Linked DNA regions of Bombyx mori. Each later gene encodes a partner of the first gene's protein in a complex. Links are inferred from orthologs where the notes say so. Each region holds a gene or a part of one and is shown in the gene's direction. Other genes may lie near its edges.

Region 1 (4,025 bases):
AGGGGGTTTATGCATTAACTGTTATAAGGTATTCGTATTACGGTTAGCAACTTAATATCAACCTGATTCAAGTCCAATTTTTATAGCCTTAAATTTGATAGTCTCTTTAAAATAATGTGATCATTAGTTTCAGAAATTTATACTTACTTGTTTTTATTATATCATCATGAGATACTAAATCATCCAATCTTTTTGGGCGATATTTTTCAACCCTGCGTAAAAACAAAGTGTTAATCGTCGTAGTAAAATATATTGAGTTATGATTTTTTTGTTTAAATCATTGTTAATGATAGTTCATACCATGGCAAATTTTGGCCTGTTTCCCCAACAGTCATATTGTTTTTATAACAGTATTTTTAAATCGCTTCTAGTATGTAAGTACAGATACTTTAATAAAAACGATTTATTTAAATTGTGGATTGGTTTACAAGCTTGAGGAAACTATAAAATTCAAAATTCGAACCATAGATAGTAGTAGCAGTTTTATTCATAGATTATACACTTAATATATTATTGGAAAGGCAAAGGTATCATACCATAAAGCGTAATCTTTTATATATTTTTTATATGTAAAATGATTTATGAAATGAAATGAAGTTGATTAATATGAAACATAACATGAAATGAAATGAAATGAAAATGAAATGGAATGAAATGAAATGAGATGAGATGATATGGGATGAAATATAATCTCAGTAAAATGGTAGTCATTTACTGAGACTTTTTCAGTGGACTTTTTAGAGGATCCCAAAAAGTTATGCTCAGCGGCTTTGTTTCAATTTTCCCACATTTGTGCACTTTCACAGATATTAAACAGGTTATAAACCACCGTTATTACACATTTAAACTTGGAGAAACACTAAATAGACAAAATAAAACAAAACACACAACTTCACTCCTCGCGCCAAAAATCTCGAACCATAAATAATACACTTCTTAATATTTGAATTTTGAGTGCATTAGCATTACGTGATTTGATTACCTAGTTAAAGATTAAAACTAAGCGCTTAATTTTTTAAACAGAAAGATTTGACCAAATCAACTGGTAAATGTAAAATAAAATAAACTAAGACAGATGTGTAAGATAGTCTTTATTGACTATAATTTCTACCAAATTTAAAGCTCAACAATTTTTTTCAATCTACTGTTGAACTAATATTAGCAATCTGGCAATAACGAATCTTTTCTTCGGCCATTTTGTCACCGTCTACTTGGGAAGGAAGAGTTCTAAAAGGATTGTTTTTGTTTTTGACTTAATTTTCATAGAAAAAATATTTAGAATTTCAAATAATCACCATGGTTGATCAAATTGAAATGGCACTGGATGATATTATAAAAGCCAACAAAAAGACAAGGATTGGAGGTGGTGCTGGAAGAAAATTTGATGCAAACAAAAGAACAGGACGTGGAGGCGGTGCTGGATTTCGTAGCAACCGCTCTGGTGGTGTACAACGAGGTAGAAATCGTGGAGGCATAACGAAATCTACCAACTATTCGAGGGTAATTCCAATAATTAGATGATTCTAAAATTACAAATGGCGGGCAAATGTGACGCATCAATGTATCTAATTTGTTCTCAAAAAGTCAAGCAACCATATGGACCATCTTGTTGAAATAGTTTTAGACGAAATTTGACACTTTGATTCAAATCAAGACCCTTATTTTATTCGTATCCGACCTATTTTCAACTTGAAACCATAATCCCAGCAACCATATTGTTATCTCCATCAACGTTTTTGTTTTGCATTGTTTACCTACATCTGCCGGAAAATTCTATGATGGATGCTGATATAAAAGTGTAATGAATTCGAGCAAAACGTTACTTTTGTGGAGATGTCTACAGTGCAGTTTTGACCAATTTATAGAATTGACTTCAGGAGTTGAAAAGTAAATAAATGGACTCCATGGACGGCTGAGACTGGTTGTGCTTCATAACTTATTAGTCTTGTGTCTGTGTGATGAAAGTGATAAAACAGTTCTATATTTTAATTTTCGAAAAAAAACATGTAAACTACATCAAATGTTATTTTATCAAGTGGTTCAGATGTCAATGTATTAATTTTAGTGCCTAAGCTTTGAGTTTTTATTATATTCAAAGGAGGCATAGAGAGTAGCCACATGGCTAGCTCTATGAAGGATGACCTTTTCAGGGTGATGTGAACAGCACTTGGAAACATGATATGTTCAATGATTTTGGTGAGAGGAAACTTCAAAGAAACAGTGGGACCATAACAACTGGTCCTACCAAGCTGCTTGTATCCAATTTGGACTTTGGAGTATCAGATTCAGATATAAAGGAACTATTTTCGGAATTTGGCATCCTCAAAAGTGCATCTGTACATTATGATCGGTCAGGTAGATCTTTAGGTATGTATCACAAAGCATAAAAACTTAGTTTGTTCCATTAAGTATTTCATCATACAAGATATTTTTAAATTTTTTTAGGTACTGCAGATGTTGTGTTTGAAAGAAAAGCAGATGCTGTGAAGGCTATGAAACAGTATAACGGAGTGCCACTTGATGGACGGGCAATGAATATACAATTGGCAACATCTGAAATCAATACTTTAAGGCCCGAGGCTAGAAATCGAATTGGTGGTGCGAGTGTGGGAGGTACTATACGAAACAATCCTAAAAGAGGTAAGATATTTTCCAGGATTTGTTTGTATGGGAGGAGTGATAACAAATTACATCATTGTGATTTGTGACAAATCACCATATACAAGATGGCCTCTTAGTCGAATCAATCTGGAAACACCTAGTTATTGTCGGAAAGATACTTCAATAAGGCCATTGGTCATGATAATCGCCATATTGTTGCTGCCGCTGACTATTTCTACCCACAGCAGAGACTAACTGTTGATGTCCTAGACACATAATTACGGATCCATCAGATCCAATAACTCTTGCATTAGACACCTGCTTTAACACTAACCATACTCATTGAACTCTAAAGAGTTTGATGTGCAACCTAATCCATAGACAGACTACTGATCTGGTAGTAGATTCATTTGCAAAGCAGCTGCCCATGAATTGTGTTAGACCTCTTTCGGAGGTGTTCAACTGTTAGCAAACCCTTCTCTTCTGGCTAAGCATTCGTGGTGTAACTGGAAAGGCCTCCGGCCCTAAATCCTTCATTTAAAAAAACATTATTAAAATTAATTACTTTTTTTAAAACTGATATTTTCCCACTAGTTCTTGTTGTACATTTTCACTTTACTGTTTGCAAGTTACAAATTACTAGAAATCCATTAATTATTTTATTTTTGAAGGAGGTGGAGGAATTAGAAATCAAAGCAATAGTGGAGCACGTGGGGGAAACAGAAGAGGACGTGGTGGTGCAGGCAGAGGCAAACGACCAGTACCTACTGCAGAACAATTAGATGCAGAGCTTGATGCATATGTGAAAGAAATCAAGTGAATAACTAATGAGAATGTGCATAGACACTCAGTTTTATCTTAAAATATGAATGAATAAGCTTTGTGTTCTCAATGTTCTAGATTAATTGTAAAAGTATAGGTTATACTAATAAAAGACTACGAATTATAAAGAAATTATAATTCTAGTACATGTATTAAATTGGATAAATAAACCCAGATTTGAAATTTTCTTGTATAGATTTCTTTTTAGTCTGTAGTTGTGTACACAAGTGTAAACATTTTTAAGGAGGTTATCGTAATTCAACTGTATTACAGTGAATGCATCTGCATTCGGCATCTGCCGATTTGGAAACTGCCTAGATCTTAAGCGTATCACTGCTCCACCTCCAAACATCACTACCTGTGTAGGTTAAAAATTATACGTAGCTACTGGTGATGTTATTCGTTCAATGTGGAAGTCTGTCAAAAACAATGAGAAATACTTTTTCAAAAAATTTTCATGGTCATTACACTCAATTTCAGCACATCAACAGTCATATTTAAAGCTACGGCAACATCAAAGTTCATTTATAAAAGGAGTTGTCGTACCCCCTTACAGGGGCACGGAACGGGCCTCGGGCAAACCCCACTGCTTGGACAGAAGC
Region 2 (2,722 bases), on another chromosome or scaffold:
TATTCCGATTTCCGATCATTTGGATAGACTCAAGTTTTTTCTAATTTCAAAGCATGAACGTAGTTACGACATGAACACTCTTAATATCACTTGATTAGAAATACGGCGTATAATTGGAACATTTTTTAGAGATTTTGTACTTATTAATTACATAAATGTTTTCCCTACCTATTCCAGGTTCTCGCGGATGGGTGAACTTACAACCTGCTCAATCTGAGAAAGTTTGTTAATACTAGCTCTAGCAAGAGGAGTGTTTCGCAGAATCTATCACCGGATCGGAATTTAAGCTGCCGTAATAACACGTTTAAGCATGACGAAATGAAATTCTAAATTAAATAAAATTAATCAATTCACACAATGCCGGGTTCCCGGTAAAAAAGTCATTTAATCACTTTTCCACACATTTTTTCAGAGATTGTGCTGTTTAAACTTCTACCCTCTTTTAGTCTGTCAGGTACTTACGTTGTTGTGTAAATTTCGCAGCTATTTTAATTAAGCGTGTAATCTATGCTCCATTTTACGTTGTAATCTAACTGACTTTTTGGCGGGAACGCGAGGAGTGAAGTTGTGTGATTTGATTAATTTTGTCTATTTAGTGTTTCTTCAGGTTTAAATAATAAATAATAATAAATAAATATTTACTAACAATCACGCCACGTTAACTGGTCCCGTGATAAGTTCGTAAAGAACTTGTGTTACAGGTACCAGATAACGGATTTAAATGTAAGATTTTTATTATACGCATACATATATTTAATATACATCCATAACCCTGGAAAAGACATTTATATTTATCATACAAATATCTTCCCTTGGCGGGATTCGAACCCGCGACCCCCTTGTGTAGTGACCATGTCACTTACCACTACACCAGATGGCCGTTATGTGTAATAACGGTGGTTTATTAACTGTTTAATATCTGTGAAAGTGCAAAAATGTGGGAAAATGAAATAAAGCCGCTGGACGTAACTTCTCGGGATCCTCCAAAAAGTCAACTGATAAAATCTCCGTAAATATTTGACTAAGATTTATTTCATCTCATATCATCTCATCTTATTTAATTTAATTTCATTCTGGTTGATTAATGTCTCAAATTAATCATCTTCACTTAATTTCATTTTACTCCATATAATTTTTCATAAAATTAAGAATATTAAATATTAAAGTAGGACATGACCTAAAAGTGTTAGTTACCAGGTCATAAAATCTCTTAAAAAAAGTAGTGAACATAGATTATACACTTCGTATTTCTAATTTCTAGTGTAAGCTAACGCTAAGCATCGCGTGTAAGCATTCTAAAAGTTCCTTGTTCAATAACGTAAACTACTTTTGATTACTATGGCGGATTCAACAGTTTCCGATGTGACTAAGATGAAAGTTGTTGAACTACGTAAAGAATTAAAATCACGTGGACTTTCATACGCCGGCGACAAAGCAGAGTTAATCGCTAGACTACAAGCTGCAATTATATCTCAAGATGAACACACCGACATCAACTTTGAATTTGACGAAATGGACTCGGACGGAGTTTTTGAAGACGAAGAAGTTAAAAGCCAAACAGACGTACTTGATGATACTGCCGTGGACACTTTAAACGAAGATTTAGTTCTTTCGGAACAGTCTTCTACTGCGACAATCGCTGTAGAAACAAAATCAACACGAACATTAAAACGCAAAACCAACGCAGAAACCAAAGATAAAAGTGCAGAAAATGCTAGTGCAAAGAAAATTGTGTTGAATAGACCCTCATCAATTTCACTTGTCAGTTCTAAAACTGTTGATGATCAAATTAATGAAAAATCTGTAGAGCCGAAAACGGCATCCGAAAGTAATAATGTCATTAAAATAAATACTGATCTAGATCCAAAGAAAAGGTTAGAGTTGCGTGCTAAAAGATTTGGTTTGCCTATTAAAATGTCCGAGTCTGAGAGAAAGGAAGCCAGGAAACAAAGGTTTAATCAAAATGATAATCAGAACACCTTCACTAGTACAGGGACGTTAAACGAAAATATGGAAAAACTTAGAAAGCGAGCAGAGAGGTTTGGTGAATCTGTTTCCAAAATAATGACAGATATTGAACTAAAGGAGAAATTGGAAAAACGTAAAGCCAAATTTGGTGCTGTTGCATAGAACATGTTTCTGATAATGGAAAGTCTACTCTAACAAATTAAGATTAGTATATAAGTATTGTTTTAAATAAATAAAACATTCTACTAAGTCAATATTTGTTAAGCATTTTAATTACATATTAAATCATTCGTTCATGTTATAGAATGGCAATTCTTGAAAATCATCAATTATGTGATGGATGACTTGGTTTTGGGCAGAATTTTTACTAATTTCATTAGTATTAAAATCTTGTGGTATATGTAGTGCATATTCCATAAAAGGTTCTTTATGAATATTAGCCCAGCGAATAGCTACATCTTTCAATAAACACTTTCGAAATGCCATACAATGCATGTGTTGAAATTTCTGATAACGAATTCTTGAAAAACCCATTAAGGCTAATGCATAACGCCAGCACTTCATTGTTTTGCTATTTGCTCCAACGTGTTTTGAATCCGGTGTGGTAACAGTAAGCAACCCTCCAGGTTTCAATATGTCATAGGCTTTTTGACATGCAGTTATTCGAAGCTGGGAAGTTGGAATATATTCTAATAAAAAACAAAATGTCACACTTTCATAGCTATTTTCTCCTATTTCTTTAACTTTATTGTCT
Region 3 (3,961 bases), on another chromosome or scaffold:
TCGTTCTTTTGGCCACAAATTAAAACGAAATTCCTTCGACCAGTTCGACCTCTGAACGAATGCGTTGTTAATTGCGTTTTGTTTCGACCCAGTCGAAAAAATGTTTAGATCTCAAATTAATCTTGTAAAGCACAGTTAACAATTTCAACAGTTAAATTATAGAATCATATAATACATGTATTTTTAAAATTTGTAGCCGCATTATATCTTTTGCTGGTTACGCTCTAAAACTTTCTTTTTTTAACGTTTCTTCTTTCGCGTTTTGTATCACGTTTTTTTTACTTTGTGTATAATCTATAGCCGTTTTATTTCTTTTCCATTTTAGATTGTTACCTGTGACTCTTGAAACCACAGACTATCTACAAATCAACATTATTAATTTATTTTAGTAAGGGGTTTCGTCAGTAGCTATGAGCCCCCGCGTCGTCGCCTTTCAGTACTATAAACAATCACATTATTTTCGGATGAGTTCTTACCATCACTCCGGTTATCGCGGCTTAAGAATACATGAATAAATAATAATTAAAAAAAACTAAAATACACGTTTTTATAGAAAATCGTGAGATGCGCGGCGTCAATAGTTTAAATATTTTATTGACAGAAATTGCTAGCTAAGTCTTATCATTTTGATAATCTCATAAAAAGCATCCCACGCTTTTTTTTAAATAAATTTATTGTGATGTGTGGGAAGTAACGTTGTTGCACACTACATTATTTTCCATTTTTTAGTTGGATTTTCTATAAAAACATGTATTTTAGTTTTTTTAAACTATTATGTATTTTTCATTTTTTAGTTTACTTATTATCTATCATAAATTATTCTTTAATGTGCATTCAGGCAAATAAAACAGTTTCCAAATTTTCTAAGTGAAGAAAAGAAGGCGCAAAAATTAATTTGTTGTTTTGACTGCCGAAATTAAATAACGAGTCTACTGTTTAAAATATTGAATTATCATCGGTCCTTAATACCTAAGTATGCCAAATTTCAAGTTAATCTGACATTTTGAAGGTGGTCAAAATCATATTCAAAGATTCCGTTACATACCTACATAGGTATGGAGCTAATAAAAGCGTAATAATCACTTAATAGTCTATGGATCTTATGTATGAAATGTATTATCTATCTTATGGAATTAAATTCATTATCTATGGTGTTATCTATGGTTATGGACACAGTTTCTTAAGTTTCCCTTTAGTAATTTAGAAATTCAGATTCTAAGAGATTTTCACCTATCGTATAACTTGTTATTTTAAAAACTTAGAAGCGAACTAGATTCGAAAAATGACATCGTCTGAAGTATCGTCCAATAGAAAAATATTGTCGGAAGATTTGTCGAATGTTGAGTTCGACACGAGTGAAGATGTCGAAGTTATTCCCACTTTTGACTCCATGGGACTTCGAGATGAGTTATTGCGAGGAATATACACATATGGTTAGTACAAATTGTGGTGTTATTTATAATTATTACAACTGCCTACATAAACGATCATGTGGGCATTATCTTACCAGCTTTAGACCGTATTATGGTCGTCCGTCTGTCAGACTGTCGTCCTGTTTTTTCGCAACAGTTCTGCGTTCCGGCTTCGAAGAGTGACATACTAATTTACAATACATTTAAAATCAATCGCACTGTTAAACCTTGGGGGCTGGTAGATTCCGTATTGTGGTGTATGTGGGGTCCGGTAACCACTTAGTAATAACTAACGTTAATTTACAGGTTTCGAAAAACCTTCAGCAATTCAGCAGAGAAGCATCTTGCCTATAGTCAAAGGCAGAGATGTAATAGCTCAAGCACAATCTGGTACAGGAAAGACTGCGACATTCTCAATTTCAATACTACAGACTTTAGACACGACTCTGCGTGAAACTCAAGTACTTATTCTTTCACCGACCCGTGAACTGGCTACTCAGATTCAGAAAGTGATATTAGCTCTTGGAGATTTCATGAACGTTCAATGTCATGCTTGTATTGGAGGTACCAATCTTGGAGAAGATATAAGGAAATTGGATTACGGACAGCATGTTGTGTCTGGCACACCTGGCAGAGTTTTTGGTAAATAAATGAAAATTGCTAATCCAAGTAAATAAGTACTAATTGTTTTAGTTTCCAAAACCAAAGATAAACCTTCTGTGATCTTTTTTGTTATCTGGCTGGTTCACCTTTTTTATTTCTTGAAAGTAGTAACTTAACTTCCACTTCTCAAATTCACCAACAGTACTACTCACTACAGTAGTCTCACCACAAACCCATGTGTATGGTTTCAGGCATCTCAGAACAGGGATGGTGTCTATAAATTGTCATCCTTGTGCAATAATTGAAAAAGTTAAATAATCTATCCACTGCAAGATGTAGGGTGCCCTAGATTATAAGAAAACAATCTTATTTTCAGATATGATCAGAAGGCGTGTGTTGAGAACCCGGTCAATAAAGATGCTGGTTCTTGATGAGGCTGATGAGATGTTGAACAAAGGTTTCAAAGAGCAAATTTATGATGTATACCGCTATCTGCCTCCTGCAACTCAGGTTGTGCTAATATCAGCAACACTACCCCATGAGATATTGGAAATGACATCAAAGTTTATGACTGATCCAATAAGGATATTAGTAAAACGGTTTGTATGATTATTTCAAAAATACACATTAAAGTTCGAATTCTGCAGGCAAGTACTAATTTTTCTAATGAAATACGTACTTCACAATTGTTCACGATTAACTTCCATAGTGAAGGAATAACATCTTATAATAAAAATCAAACATGTAAAATTATAATTTGCGTAATTACTGGTGGTAGGTGGTAGGAATGTCTTGTAAGTCCGCACGGGTAGGTACCACGATCCTGTCTATTTTTGCTGGGACGCAGTAATGTGTTTTGGTTTGAACGGTGGGTCAGCTGTTGTACTGTAAAATGCGAGACACTAGAACTCATGTCATTTTATTTTTTTAGTGTCCTTGTAGGCAGACTAGCATACCACCCACCTGATGGTGAGTGGTGACAATCGCCCATGGAATTCAGTACAGCAAAGCTGTTCTAGGTGTCTATGGACTCTGGTAACCACTTAACACCATTAACACCGTGGGCCTTGAACTCATCCACCCACTAAGTTAAATGAAATATTTGTTTTATATTGCCCTTGAAGGAATTTGTCCACCTGATAGTGAGTGATTACTGCCGCCTATGGACACTAGTGACGCTAAGGGTTATTTGCCTGATATCTCATTTGAATAAAATTATGTCACAGTACTCAGGAAACACTAGAGGAGATTTAGATTAAGAAAAGAAGTTACATTAAGTGTAGAAAACTATCTGTTTTATTTTAGCATTATCAACTATACTATTTCTAGGATGAAGCTTATTTCTGTATGGACTATCATTTTGTTAATTGCTCAACACATAAACCTATGCAAGCTAAATAGTAATTAAGTAAACAAATTTTCTATCATGGTAAATGTATTTGAAATTAAGAATCATTTTTTCTACAGTGATGAGTTGACACTGGAGGGTATCAAACAGTTCTTCGTGGCAGTTGAACGAGAAGAATGGAAGTTTGACACACTTTGTGACCTCTATGATACACTGACAATTACCCAAGCAGTAATATTTTGTAATACAAAGAGGAAGGTTGACTGGCTCACACAGAAGATGCAAGAGGCAAACTTCACTGTCAGTTCAATGCATGGTGACATGCCACAGAAAGAGAGAGACAACATTATGAAGGAATTTCGTTCTGGTCAAAGGTAATGGAAATTCTATTAAAATAAAAACAATACGATCTTGAAGACTTTTAGTTTTCAAGATCTAAATGTGAATGGTTTCGAATTTCGTGAACTAATATCACTAGTGATTTAATATGAAAAATACAATTGCTCTTTTTTTTTTAATGTAAACGAGATATGGATCACCTTTACAGACAGCATTTATGTAATAATGCCTCTGGGCTTTTGTTGAGTGTTGGATGGGC
Region 4 (3,531 bases), on another chromosome or scaffold:
TAATTATTACAAATAATAAAAACGCTGACTTAGGTGGCGGTTTTTATTTGAACCAGTTCTAAATTATAAACTAAAATTCTATGAAAAATTACCCATATTTATCTATAATACGAAATGATATTAATTTGTTTTTCGTAGTTTCCTTCCTTCTTGCGTCGATAATCCTCAGTGCTGAGGGTCGCGGCCTCCTCTAATAACTTTCTCCTGCATCATCTTGCGCCATTCCTGCCTGTCCTCGGCTGTATGGATAGCAACGTGGACTGAAGTTTTGAGAGTGGAGCGTATTTGGTCCGACCAGCGCATTGGATTTCTGCCTCTGTGCCCTCTCCCGCATACCTTGCCTGTTACCAGCAACTTTTCCAGATTCTCACCTCTCTTTCTGGCGATATGTCCAAAGATCTCTAAACTCCTCCGCGCGCATGTAGTGCGGAGGCGCATTGGAATCTTGAGCTCGGTAAGAATGGATTCGTTGGTTCTGTGTTCTGTCCAACGAATCCCGAGCATTTTCCTCCAGCACCACATCTCAAACGCGTCGATGCGTTGGCGGTCGGCTTTCTTGAGGGTCCAAGTCTCTGCGCCGTAGAAAAAAATGCCACCCAAGCACAGTCCATTTGGAACATAGCCCTCTTTGCCATACTGATTCGCCTTCTGAGGTCCTTTTCGGAGGTTCCATTACTAGCTATGACGGAGCCCAGATAAATGAAATCCTCTACGTCTTCCAGGTTTAGCTTATTCGTAGTTTAATAAGTTATTATTGTTAGTAGTATTATTTACTAGTCGAAATATAAATTTTTAATTATCTTATGATGAGAATCTTATATTAATGAGAAAGATATTCAACAAAAATAGTTTCGTTCTAATAAATTAGCATAGTAATAGTACAGTGAACTAGCAATTTATTTTGGTAATTCTGAATTTAAACAAACATATTGATGAGAAGAATTCATTTTTACTTTGCAAATTTGTAAATACACGCTCTGTAGCAATGTACGGACATATAATAATATGAAGAAACAATAATAGCATCTACAAATATATATGTACTACGTGGTACTACATTTAATAAAATTAATACAACATTTATTAATTAAATTAATGAAATTGTGGTTTTAAAGTTTTAGGGGTGTATAAAAAATGGGGGGCGCTGAAAAATAATTGATATTCAAAGGGGGCGGTAAAAGAAATAAGTTTGATAATCACTGCTCTAAGTATTTCATTTTTAAATACTCATAAAATGGGTCATTTCAAAAAATAATATGACATGAAAAAAATCATATAAAAGACATATTATTCACGTGCTCACGTGAAAATAAAAACTATGATTGCATTATAGCTGTTCGCCTGTGTTCTTCTTTTTACTTTACACAAATAAAATTTCAAATTAATCAAAAATCAAATTGCAAATTTAATTCTCGTAAACTGTTGAGTGGCGAAAAAGCCAAGTGGCACGTCATATTTAACTGTCAAACATAACAAAAAAAGTTTGGATTGACGCCAAAAAAGCCGAAGCCGCCATTATTGTGAAATCGTATTGTAAAAATAAATTTCACGTGCTCACAGTGAGTACGATACAGTAAACAAGCTAATTAAACTAAAGTAAATCATGGCTGACAACGACGATCTTCTCGACTACGAAGATGAAGAACAAGCAGATCAACAGACTGCTGACGGGTCTACCGAAGTGGCGCCAAAGAAGGAGGTTAAAGGATCCTACGTATCCATCCACAGTTCTGGTTTTAGAGACTTCTTACTTAAGCCAGAGATACTCCGCGCTATTGTTGATTGCGGTTTTGAGCATCCTTCCGAAGTTCAACACGAATGCATTCCGCAAGCCGTCCTCGGTATGGACATACTTTGCCAAGCCAAGTCCGGTATGGGTAAGACAGCCGTGTTTGTTTTGGCAACATTGCAGCAGCTGGAACCCTCCGAGAGCCACGTTTACGTGCTTGTAATGTGCCACACCAGAGAGTTGGCTTTCCAAATAAGTAAGGAGTACGAGCGTTTCTCGAAATATATGTCAGGAGTCAGAGTATCAGTATTCTTTGGTGGTATGCCAATTCAGAAAGACGAGGAAGTCCTTAAGACAGCATGTCCTCACATTGTAGTGGGAACTCCCGGTAGAATTTTGGCATTAGTAAACAGTAAGAAACTTAATTTGAAACATTTAAAACACTTCATCCTTGATGAGTGTGATAAGATGCTGGAATCTCTAGACATGAGGCGAGATGTGCAGGAGATATTCCGGAACACTCCTCACGGGAAACAGGTGATGATGTTCTCAGCCACATTGAGTAAAGAAATCAGACCTGTGTGTAAGAAATTTATGCAAGACCCAATGGAAGTTTATGTAGATGATGAAGCCAAACTCAAGCTACATGGACTGCAGCAACATTATGTGAAACTAAAAGAAAATGAGAAGAATAAAAAACTCTTCGAACTACTTGATGTATTGGAGTTCAATCAGGTGGTTATTTTTGTGAAATCAGTACAGCGCTGCATAGCTCTGGCACAACTGCTCACCGACCAAAACTTCCCTGCCATTGGTATCCACAGAAATATGACCCAGGATGAGCGTCTCTCCCGCTATCAACAGTTCAAGGACTTCCAAAAAAGGATCCTGGTTGCAACAAATTTGTTTGGCCGGGGAATGGACATTGAAAGGGTAAATATTGTCTTCAACTATGACATGCCTGAAGATTCAGATACATATCTACATCGTGTCGCCCGCGCAGGAAGGTTTGGTACCAAAGGTCTGGCCATTACTATGATATCTGATGAAAATGATGCCAAGATCTTAAACCAAGTACAAGATCGTTTCGATGTGAACATTACAGAGCTGCCTGAAGAAATTGAGCTCTCTACCTACATCGAAGGACGATAGATTAAGTTTCATTCCCATACCTATTTACTGCTGTGGCTCATTTTGTTGGTAATTAGACTGGCCTGCTTTAACATTGATTTGTAATACATTGAGCCACATTTACTGTTTAACTAGGTTTATCTAATTAAAGTGACATTTCATATTGTGATATCTGAGTGTTTTATTTCTTTACCAACAATTTGGGAGCTTTCATCGTTATCAGTAAGACAGGCTGTGATATGTTTAACTTTAGAATGTAGACAGGAAATTGATATATTTATTTTGACCATGTTCATATTAATGTAACAAAATATCCATTTTGAACATATCATTTTGTCTTTATGACTTCATATTTTTATATTCTTAGACATGCAAAATTTACTGATATTGGATGTTAATACTTCACACAAATACTACTGGATGCATTTGGATAAAATTTCATGCCTAAAAACTTCAGAATAAAACAAGCCATAATTTAATTTAGAGTACCTACGTACAGTGTGAGAGGTGGGGTGCAAGTAGTTTCAAGAAATTACTGTTTTTAGAGCCTTGCTATAGGATAATTATACAGGAACGCGACCAGTTTTAACTGAAAAGTACAGAAGGCCCATGTCCAGTAACTGGTATCCACTACAAAATCAAAATCTATAATTGTCTGCCTACACTATATT
Region 5 (3,246 bases), on another chromosome or scaffold:
CAGACAGTCATCTTTGAATTGAACATTGAAAATTTAAAGGTTAATTAGGCCAGCTACCATTCCATTTCTTGTATTAATAAAGAAAAAAGCAAAACACACAACAGAATGCACAGAGCTTTCCAACATGTCACAGCTGATACTAGCTTGAATTAAGAAATGTTTTTATACTTTATTTTGCTGACTAATAAAAAGAGTAGAGCGGGAAGTTATCCCAAAGCAAAAGAATAAGAGAAAATTATCTCGATAAATGTAACATTTTATAGTTAGATTTAAATATTGGTTACTTCCACATTTGTAGTAAGAAGATATTAAGAAAACTTAGCGCACTCACCATTGAACATAAGATAGTAATAGTACCTAGTAAGTTTAATTATTTTAGTCTTGTCTTATACTTCTTTCAATAATAGAACTGGTTTAAAAGACGATATTTTTCATGTCTTAAAATTGAATTGGAACTTACTTCGTTAGCTTCTCCAGCCCGGTACAAAGTAGGCTCGGGGTAAAGAGTACAAACAGTACTAAATACGGCACGACCAGCTGCCCCGTGATAGGAAACTGCCAGGTTGCGCTTTGTAACATTGTTGTTAATATACATTTGCCGCTCAGAAATAAGGATAACACTTGACCAAGCAGTATGCTCCTCCACACTTTCCTGAAAATGCACACTTAGTTAGTTTAAGGACGTTTACCCAAAAAATATTTTATTTATTTATTTATTGATACTAGCCATCGCCCAAGTTCCGAGAAATAAATCTCGACTTTATCACTGAAACTTGACGTTTCCATTGTTTCAGTGAAAGATATTCCGAAAGTTTACTCAGCTAATTTACTGTTAAAATAGATTCAATAGTTTAAAGGGTTTAATATAGCAGTTATTCATCATTTCCTGAACAATGGATCGAAATTCGAAAGGCAAAACAACATGTGAATTGTGGTTGTGACATCTGTTTTTTTTTCTTGTTTGGCAGGCATCTCATAATAGTCTGTGGTTTTCTTTCGTCCATTGAATGAGCAAAGGGAAAATAGCCGATCAAAATCTTTTAATTAAAATAAAAAGGTTAAGCTTTGTGTTCTTAAAATCTTAAGAATTTAATCAGCGTTCAATTAAATTTTGAGATCTCAAGAAACCACGGTCAGCAATTTTGTTTCAATCAATTTTGACAGGAATGTGAAATAGTAAAGTTGTAATACTGTGTGAATGTTTTATTTAGTTTAGTTTTCTTCATCTTTAAATATAAAAATAGTTATCGTCTTATTTATATCATTTCATTTTTTATGCAACAGATATGATTTCAGGCTTTGTCGTAAAATATTTAGATAAAAAGAAGAGCATTTTTAACTTATGAGAATGTCTCCTTTGCCTATGAGTTGGATAAAAAAAACTTTTTTTTTATTAATAATTTAACCTGCCAAAATTTGGAGATAAAATATTTTTAATTTTTCTTGATTTTTGTAAATAAAACACACAAGTTAGCACTTACATATAAAGAACAAGGATAAATTTGAATTCGCTTATGATAAGATTATTTTGTAGAATAAAAACATTACCTAACAATTTATAAGGCAAACTCGGACGAGATCATAATTTCATTTGAATTTTACTCCAAACATAATGGGTGACGGTAAATAACTTTACCTAAGAATACAAAACTACTCAAAAACAAATACTATTTCAATACTCATTGGTTATTTCCAGAAGATGTGATTCGTAGAAGACTTCTGATCGACGGTGACGGTACTGGAGACGACAGGAGACTGAATGTACTTTTAAAAACTTTGATAAAATGGTGCAATACAACGGATGACAAACCGGAAGAAAGGTTGGTTTTAATAAATAGTACCGTATTAGGACGTATTGTGAGCTCACATGCGTAAACACTGTTCCACTTCCGAATTATCATAGCTTCCGCATTGATCATAGCTTCCAATTTGAAGGGTAGAATTGCCATTGTAAATTCAATTGAAACTTCTATCTCGTGTCCCAAAGGTTCTGGTAAGCATTTAATACCAGCAGGGAAATGTTGGCATCTGTTTATCTATAATAAAGAGCCTTAATATTCAATTAAGTGTTCATTAACCTTTTCATTTATTCCCCATATACATTTGTTGTTTTATTATGAGAATAAAAATCTGCAGTCAAAATGTAAGTTTTTGTAGTTCCAGAATATGTAATACGATTAAGATTTCTCGTTTTAGTAAAGCTACTCATGATCGTATGTTAGCTCAACTGGCACAATGCGAATTTGCTGTCACAAAATCGCAACTCGGTTCTGAAATGATGGCTGCTGAATTAAAAAGCTACGAAGCACTCTCGAAAATTCTAGAAAGCGGAATAGAGGTGGCCAAAGAGAACATACAGAAGAGCAAAACAGATTTAGCACAAGCAAAGACTGTCAGAAAAAACAGAATAGAATATGATGTCTTGGCTAAGGTTATCAGTGAACAGCCTGATCGTAAGGAAACCTCTGAGAGATTGAGCACTCTGAAGACTGAACTAGCAAACTTGGAAACCACCAAACAGCAATTGGAAAGTCGGTTAGCATTACGAAAGAAACAATTTCATGTGCTTGTAACTTCAATACATCAATTACAAGCATTATTAGATGAACTAGATGATGCAGAGACTATTTGTGATGATGTTGATATGAAAGAAATATCAAATGAATCATAATAATGAGTGATGTATTAGAGTATAAGATTATTTCTCTATGTGAGATTTCTAATAAAGTATGAATTTTCTACTTGATTTTTTGTTTACATTTTCAGTACTGTAAAATGGGGAGAATTGGGACACTTTTTAAGTTCGACATTGATTTGTATAGTTTTTTTTTGTTTTAGTAATAAAACGGAGATCATAATGGTTCTGGAGGCTTAAATATTTATATACAATGCGTTACTATACATTGTTCACTACAAAAATACACAAAAACTGAAAAAAATAGCTTGACCCCATTCACCTTGGCTTTGGGGTTGAATCAGGTTACGTAGGGGCCCGCGATCTGGACGGGACCTTCAGCCCGCAATGATTGCGTGCTGTGGGTCTCGTCTGCGGGGGAGATGCTGGACTTCCACCAGGCGCGTCCGTGGGTGGCGGATCACGGGATCCTCTGGGCGACATTCCCAGAGGTATGGTCCGATCTTTTTCGTTGCGAGGATTCTTAGGTTTAGGATTAGGTTTAGATGTAGGTTAAAGTCCTAGGTTTAGGATTAGGATAGTTTAGCTAGGCTTTGCCTGGTAGATCCTTT
Region 6 (2,525 bases), on another chromosome or scaffold:
ACAACAATAGCGGATGTGGCCTAAAATCACAAGTGACAGCAATTTGGTCGAAATTATAAGGCGGTTGCCCAAGTAGTGGTATGTGTCAATGTAGTGGCGGATAAGTGAGTCGCCAAAGTATGTATGGTGAGAGTTTAGTAAAATAACGAAAATTAATATTTCTCTCCAGTTATCCATCTCTAGAATTGCAGACAGTACTGAAGGCGCATCCTGGTACGTGTATCTGCATCGAGCACGACCCAACCGGTAGATACTTTGCTACTGGGTCAGCCGATGCTCTGGTCTCACTATGGGATGTCAATGAACTGGCCTGCTTAAGAGTTTTCTCCAGGTATTTTTTTTTGTTCTAGTTCATTGAATGTGCTGTAAAAGATATCAAATATACACAATATTATGCCAAAATGTAAACTAATTTCACTAGTGCGGGCTATTGACCAAGCTCCAACAGTCTGCGAAATGCAAACAAACAGACAAACTTGTATTTTTAATATTACGTGAAGATGAAGAGTAAAATACTGAGACCTCTGATACTAATAAATAGACTTGGAAATGGACTTGGAAGTTGGAAATTTGCGATGAAGGATGAACGGTGGATATTACCTAAATGGTACCCAGAATACATTATTCATTTAACATGGAAACATAGCAACCGTTGCTGTGCAATTATACTGTATTCACAAGAGAGTGTTAAAAGTAATTATCCTGGGAAAAGGCAGTGTTTCATTCTTTCTCAATTACAAATACCAGCCACACAGGGAAATTTAATATTGTTGCAATTAAATGGGTGGACGAGCTGACGGCCCACCTGGTGTTGAGTGTTTACCGGACCTCTTAGACATCTACAATGTAAACGTCGCTACCCACTTCGAGACATGAGTTCTAAGACCTGTCTTTACAGTACATCAGCTGCCCCATCCTTCAAACCGAAACGCATTACTGCTTCACGGCAGAAATAGGCAGGGTGGTGGTACCTACCCGTGCGGACCTACCCGTGCAATTAGAACATCTGGTGTGCAATGTTGCAGGTTGGAGTGGCCGGTCCGGACGCTGTCGTTTAGCTTCGACGGCAGGCTGCTGGCGTCCGCGAGCGAGGACCACATCATCGACATCGGAGACACGGAGACAGGTTCGTCTATTTTATATTCATTTACGGTCAGCGGTAACGATCCACAGTTACTAACTTGACTTCACAATTTTGTTTGTGACTGTACGGGACTCCAGTACCGAAAATTAGAGGGAAAATTAGACTAGGGATAGAATAGAAACAAATTTGGGTTGTCAAAATGCTGAGATTTAAATTTGTTGAATTGAAAAGGACTTTTATTTTATATTAAATTAGTCATCAGAGTTTCGTATTAAAGATATTAAAAAGTTAATTACCTTTAGGTAAGTGCCTACTTAACAGCTAAACAGTGCCAGCCCTATCGAGCCCCCCCCCCCCCAATCTACTTTGTCCAGGCAGCGCGCCGAAGTACAGCTATAAAGAAAAGTGCATAATAATTGGCAAGGTTAGCCAGACTAAGTGACTGAAGGACTCAAAATGCCAACGCCCCAGTCAGATCTAAGATCGTATCAAGAGGACTTTGCAGCAGCGTTGCCTTCGAAGCCGCAATCCTTATCAGGGTGGGAACAATTTGAGGAGGTGAATGCGGAGCTTCGATTGCCTAAAGAGTCTTCACACGAACAGCTCCCAGAGTGAAGCAGTAAGCCTTATGATTGAGGTTAAGAGCCTCGATGAAGGATCAGGACTTTTTTGTAGTGGTACCTAACCGCGTGGACTCACAAGAGGTCCTACCACCAGTAACCCCCTGTTAACCTGTTTCAGGGGAGAAAGTAGCAGAGATCCCGGTGTCCGCGTCCACGTTCACGGTGTCGTGGCATCCCGCGCGCTACCTGCTGGCCTTCGCCTGCGAGGACAAGGAGCCGCCCGAGAGGAAACGGGATTTGGGGAATCTCAAACTGTGGGGACTCTCTAGTTCTTAGTGTTGGAAATGTAATATACAAAATAAACTAAAATACTAAAAAGGATTGTGTGGTTTTATGAAACCACGGTAAAAGTGAAACATTTACATTAGACAGTGACAAAAACAAAAACAAAATAGCGTGGAGCACTGGCACAAATGAGTAACAGTCTATACACTACACGGTCAGCTGCTGCGAACTATAGGCGCCGCCATATTGGCCTTGGCTGCTCTGACGAGCGCCTTTCACTTTATCCCTACTCCGCGGCCGACCGTCACGCGACATGCAACACACAGACGAAAAAGTTTGAGACGATGTAATAAAAGATTAAACTAAAAATTTTTTTAAACTAATGGTCCCCCGGTAGTCGAAATTTGACTATAATTAAGTCAAATTATAAGTTTGTACACTACTATGGTTCTATATCGAGTTTAATGAGGGACGGTTTTATTCTGAAATGAGCTCAAATGGTTTTTTAAGCAAACTATAGTAGAATTATTTTGTCCGTGCAGTTTGGGTAATAAAAAATCGGAGCGGTGAAGCGAGTATTTCGCTCTCTCTTC
Region 7 (4,220 bases), on another chromosome or scaffold:
GTGGAGGCGAAGAACGCGGGGTCGGAATGGATGATTTGAATTTCCATTCTGAGAAAAGAGAACTTTTAGTTTTTTTCGTTATTATCAATTTTTCATCCACATCGTTTTCTAATAAATTACAGTCACTCATGATTTTACTACTAATTTCATTTCAATGTATGCTAATAGACTGAAACTCTGAAAGTTAGTTTGACATTGATTATTATTTATTTGATTACTCTATTCTTTTTTATTTTCAGATGATAAAAAATTCACAAGCTTAAAGAGTATATTAAAATTTTAAAAATCGCATTTATTTCAACTAAAGAATTAAAAAGAAAGATCAAAAGTTAGAAGTTCTTTTCATATTTGAAATAATTTAATCATATTTTATGATTTTCGAATATCATTGAAAATTGCATTGTACTTAAAAGAAGTGAAAGTGATAAATATATATAATAATTAAGTAACAAATAGCGGAGGAACTGGGGATACCTATCAGCGACGCACTCCACCGGGCTGCAGGGCGGGATCGATGGAGACAGTTGGTTGACGAAATCGGACGGAGTCACGATCCTCAGCAGTGAGGAACCGATCGAAGAGAGAGAGAGAGAGAACAGTTTCATATTATTCGAGGAAATTTGTATGATGATTAATAAATGTATACATATAACATAATTTTTTTGGCAATCCTTCCCTTTTTTTGGTGGTTTTTTAATCATATTTATGAAAAAAAAAATTGACATTTTTTTTGAAGTAGATATCTATTTGTGCTATTTTTTTATTTTTTCCTACTTATTCTGATAGCCTTGAGAGGCTATTAAATTTCAGCTTCGCCATAACTTTATAAACTTGACAGTATAAAGGCGGACTTAATGCCATTTAAAATACAGTTCTATACAATACACTTCTATTATGTATATTATCTATTTTTGACGTTGATGTACGATTGTTGTGGGACTTTTTGACGGGAACGCGAGGAATGAAGTTTTGTGATCTGTTTTGTTTTGTCTATTTAGTGCTTCTTCGAGTTTAAAGGCGTAATAACGGTGGTTTATTATCTGTTTAGTAACTGTGTAAGTGCACAAATGTGTGAAAATGAAACAAAGCCGCCGAACGTAATTTCTCGGGATCTTCCAAAAAGTGCACTGAAAAAGTCTCACTAAATGTCCACCATTTTCCTGAGATTATATTTCATCCCATATCATCTCATCTCCTTTCATTTCATTTCGTTTTAATTTCCATTCAATTTAATTTCCTGCCATATTTCATATAAAAAAAGTTTTCATTAAAATTAAAATAAGTCTTGACCTAAAAGTCTTAGTTACCAGGTCATAAAGTCCTTTAAAAATGTGATTGTCGTATACATGTCTTATCTATGAATAATCTCTCAAATATAATAAGTGTATAATCTATGGAATAATCTATGGTGGTCGTGTTTGATGCGGAGTTTTCAAGATTAATTTGTGTAACTTTTTGATTTTTTAAACTCATATGGTCTCTAGATAAATACATCTTTATTAATTACATTTTATTTAAATTATTTACTACTTCTCATAACGTAAATCTACTATAAAACATGGCTGACGTGCTAGATATCGAAAATTCAGAAGAATTTGAAGTCGACGAAGATGGTGAACGTAAGTGGAACAATTGATATTATTAAAAATATTTTAATCAAATTTTGTTTCCTATTCATTATCTGTAAAGTCTGCTCGTAGCTTAAACAAGCAATTATGTGTGGACATAAAACGGGAAATGTTGTCTCAATTAAGGTTATAATTTCCGACTGAATTTTTTTTACATTTGTAATGTTATTATCGCCGGTCGACGTTAAACTTTCACCACTGGGTTTAATTTAAATGCACACATACAAAATGATGCACACCAGACTTGTTAAGACATATAAATCTAACATATAGATTGCTTGTTCCCCATTTTTTCATATTTCGTGCTTTAGGACATTACATTGGTGATTCTTACGTGTTTTATAATTATTCTTGCACTAAATTAAGCTTAAAGTAAACTAAAAATTGTAATGTTGTTGATTTCCAAAAATAACACATAATATACTGGTGGTAGGAGCTCTTGTGAGTCCGCGCGGGTGGGTACCACCACCCTGCCTATTTCTGCCGTAGCAGCCGGGCAGCCGTTGTATACTTGAGACCTTAGAACTTATATCTCAAGGTGGATGGCGCATTTACATTGTGGATGTCTATGGGCTCCAGTAACCACTAAACAACAGGTGGGCTGTGAGATCATGCACCCAACAATAAAAAAAAAATTTAGTGTAAAATTACAGTATTTAAAAATGTTACAGAGGGAATCGCTAGACTTAAGGAGAAGGCACGTAAGCGAAAAGGTCGTGGTTTTGGCAACGAAGCCGGTGGAGGCAGTGCTGCAGAACGGGGTAACCGCGGAAGGTAATACACAGATTTTGTCATTTTCCATTGTACTGAATAATAATATTTCTTGCTAATCAACAGAAGCTCTGTTTCCACTCTGGAAAAACCCACAACCGAACCAGGCTTAACATGTCCAACAGTGGCCAAAACTTTGTATTGTTTTGTTGCAGATACGACAGTTTAGCTCCGGAAGGCGATAGCGGTACACCAGGACCTCAGAGATCAGTTGAAGGCTGGATCCTGTTTGTCAGTAATGTACATGAAGAAGCACAAGAAGAAGATATACAGGCAATTAAAACTTCTTTTATTTATATTTAGAAGATAAAATTTCCACTTTGTATCTACTTGTAGCTACTGTTTGAGACACACCTTAATTTGAAATGGTTATAATTACAAAAAAACAATGTGAAAGATTAAAAGGTATATTCCTATTTAATTAATGTGAAATGTGAAATAGGTTAAGTCAAAGAAAAGATATTTTGTCATGTCAATGTATTTGTTGGTAAATAGACACGCATCAATAGGGACATTGACATATTCATAAAAATGTGAATGTAGCCACTTTGAAACATTAGTGTAAATCTGTGGAATAGTATTGATCAATAATAATATAATAATTTAATAGGACTATAGGTTTTTTTTATTGCCTTTCTAGGCAACATGCGAGCAGTAGACGAGCATATGGCCCACCTGATGGTAAGTGGTCAGCGTCGCTTATCGACGTCAGCAATGCGCCAGGGACAGAGCCAAGCCGCTGCCTACATTACTACATTGCCAATAAGATTAAATTATTATATGACCAATAGAATAAGTATGTAATACAAATCCTTTTTTTTTAATAAAAATATGTCAAGTTTTTCATAGAATATATGCAGACCACTATTACAAATTTTATTGAAGTTCTTTAGGCGCGTTGTGAAAAATTGATGAGAGTGAAATTTTACGATGCACGCGCACCGTGACACAAATTTAACAGAAATGAAGTTGCCCACTAAATCGCTCATTAAAATACGACCGCCGTAACTTGGAGAGTCTGAATATAGCCGCAGGTGAACTTTCGCGCATGTTCACTCGTAAAAAAAAGTGTGATTAGCATTTATTTTTTACTAATATAAATGACAAAATTATTTTTTAATATAATTCATACTAAATATTATTAAATTATTAACATTAAATATATTTATTTAACATCTAAAAAAAAATAAAAATTAATAAAAATAAAGTATAACTTCTTACGCGCGTACATAAGTACACGCACCCTTTTTTTATAAGGATCGGTGATTCGATCAGTGGAAACAATATTAGTTTGTTTTGTTGACAGAATCAATTTTCCGAGTTTGGTGAGATAAAGAATATTCATCTGAATCTGGACCGACGCACAGGCTTCCTCAAAGGCTACGCTCTAGTTGAGTACGAGACTTATAAACAAGCCGCTGTAAGTACTTAGTGCTACTGATTAATATAAGACTTACTGTGCTTTGGTATCCACTTTATACATACTGAATGATGACCGGTTTTTTTTGATAACGCCATCTTGTTGTGTCTTTAAAGCGGTTAGTTGCCCTCAATTAAGAAAAATAGTATTATTATTCGCCAATAGATGTCAGGAAGAGTTAATTTTTGAAAACACGAATAAAACAACATTTTCTCAAAATAAATCGTAGCTAGATCGATTTATCGTCCCCGAAATCCCCTGTATACTAAGTTATATGAAAATCGTTGGAGCCGTTTCCGAGATTCAAATTATATACATATATATTAATATACAAGAATTGCTCGTTTAAAGATATCCACTGTATACATCTTAAACTTCGTATGTATCTTTTTTAATTGCTT

What was found.
Region 2: ALY (region 1) and SAP domain-containing ribonucleoprotein share a complex: the UniProt entries of both Homo sapiens proteins name them as parts of the transcription/export (TREX) complex. The link is inferred for Bombyx mori from reciprocal best matches to the Homo sapiens genes ALYREF and SARNP.
Region 3: ALY (region 1) and eIF4AIII share a complex: the UniProt entries of both Homo sapiens proteins name them as parts of the ALYREF/THOC4-EJC-RNA complex. The link is inferred for Bombyx mori from reciprocal best matches to the Homo sapiens genes ALYREF and EIF4A3.
Region 4: ALY (region 1) and ATP-dependent RNA helicase WM6 share a complex: the UniProt entries of both Homo sapiens proteins name them as parts of the transcription/export (TREX) complex. The link is inferred for Bombyx mori from reciprocal best matches to the Homo sapiens genes ALYREF and DDX39B.
Region 5: ALY (region 1) and THO complex subunit 7 homolog share a complex: the UniProt entries of both Homo sapiens proteins name them as parts of the transcription/export (TREX) complex. The link is inferred for Bombyx mori from reciprocal best matches to the Homo sapiens genes ALYREF and THOC7.
Region 6: ALY (region 1) and THO complex subunit 3 share a complex: the UniProt entries of both Homo sapiens proteins name them as parts of the transcription/export (TREX) complex. The link is inferred for Bombyx mori from reciprocal best matches to the Homo sapiens genes ALYREF and THOC3.
Region 7: ALY (region 1) and Y14 share a complex: the UniProt entries of both Homo sapiens proteins name them as parts of the ALYREF/THOC4-EJC-RNA complex. The link is inferred for Bombyx mori from reciprocal best matches to the Homo sapiens genes ALYREF and RBM8A.

What each region holds. Positions count from the first base shown.
Region 1 is NC_085114.1:10,512,187-10,516,211, reverse strand, and holds ALY, read left to right. Parts: upstream 1-1,239; 5' UTR 1,240-1,296; coding exon 1,297-1,500; intron 1,501-2,150; coding exon 2,151-2,367; intron 2,368-2,445; coding exon 2,446-2,640; intron 2,641-3,272; coding exon 3,273-3,421; 3' UTR 3,422-3,525; downstream 3,526-4,025. Other genes in the region: replication factor C (activator 1) 5, read right to left, coding at 148-212, 301-335. UniProt on the Homo sapiens protein: Functions as an mRNA export adapter; component of the transcription/export (TREX) complex which is thought to couple mRNA transcription, processing and nuclear export, and specifically associates with spliced mRNA and not with unspliced pre-mRNA.
Region 2 is NC_085113.1:6,731,076-6,733,797, forward strand, and holds SAP domain-containing ribonucleoprotein, read left to right. Parts: upstream 1-1,338; coding exon 1,339-2,130; 3' UTR 2,131-2,222; downstream 2,223-2,722. Other genes in the region: S-adenosylmethionine sensor upstream of mTORC1, read right to left, coding at 2,254-2,722. UniProt on the Homo sapiens protein: Binds both single-stranded and double-stranded DNA with higher affinity for the single-stranded form. Specifically binds to scaffold/matrix attachment region DNA. Also binds single-stranded RNA. Enhances RNA unwinding activity of DDX39A.
Region 3 is NC_085131.1:3,885,623-3,889,583, forward strand, and holds the start of eIF4AIII (eukaryotic initiation factor 4A-III), read left to right. Parts: upstream 1-1,161; 5' UTR 1,162-1,282; coding exon 1,283-1,433; intron 1,434-1,718; coding exon 1,719-2,054; intron 2,055-2,391; coding exon 2,392-2,614; intron 2,615-3,482; coding exon 3,483-3,737; intron 3,738-3,961. UniProt on the Homo sapiens protein: ATP-dependent RNA helicase. Involved in pre-mRNA splicing as component of the spliceosome. Core component of the splicing-dependent multiprotein exon junction complex (EJC) deposited at splice junctions on mRNAs.
Region 4 is NC_085122.1:1,018,084-1,021,614, forward strand, and holds ATP-dependent RNA helicase WM6, read left to right. Parts: upstream 1-1,211; 5' UTR 1,212-1,603; coding exon 1,604-2,881; 3' UTR 2,882-3,031; downstream 3,032-3,531. UniProt on the Homo sapiens protein: Involved in nuclear export of spliced and unspliced mRNA. Component of the TREX complex which is thought to couple mRNA transcription, processing and nuclear export, and specifically associates with spliced mRNA and not with unspliced pre-mRNA.
Region 5 is NC_085129.1:4,007,871-4,011,116, forward strand, and holds THO complex subunit 7 homolog, read left to right. Parts: upstream 1-1,149; 5' UTR 1,150-1,612; coding exon 1,613-1,622; intron 1,623-1,696; coding exon 1,697-1,820; intron 1,821-2,196; coding exon 2,197-2,671; 3' UTR 2,672-2,746; downstream 2,747-3,246. UniProt on the Homo sapiens protein: Component of the THO subcomplex of the TREX complex which is thought to couple mRNA transcription, processing and nuclear export, and which specifically associates with spliced mRNA and not with unspliced pre-mRNA.
Region 6 is NC_085132.1:2,069,957-2,072,481, forward strand, and holds the end of THO complex subunit 3, read left to right. Parts: intron 1-169; coding exon 170-331; intron 332-1,025; coding exon 1,026-1,126; intron 1,127-1,825; coding exon 1,826-1,983; 3' UTR 1,984-2,025; downstream 2,026-2,525. UniProt on the Homo sapiens protein: Component of the THO subcomplex of the TREX complex which is thought to couple mRNA transcription, processing and nuclear export, and which specifically associates with spliced mRNA and not with unspliced pre-mRNA.
Region 7 is NC_085108.1:4,111,901-4,116,120, reverse strand, and holds the start of Y14 (RNA binding motif protein Y14), read left to right. Parts: upstream 1-1,420; 5' UTR 1,421-1,558; coding exon 1,559-1,619; intron 1,620-2,299; coding exon 2,300-2,402; intron 2,403-2,554; coding exon 2,555-2,672; intron 2,673-3,705; coding exon 3,706-3,819; intron 3,820-4,220. Other genes in the region: uncharacterized protein LOC101745843, read right to left, coding at 1-130.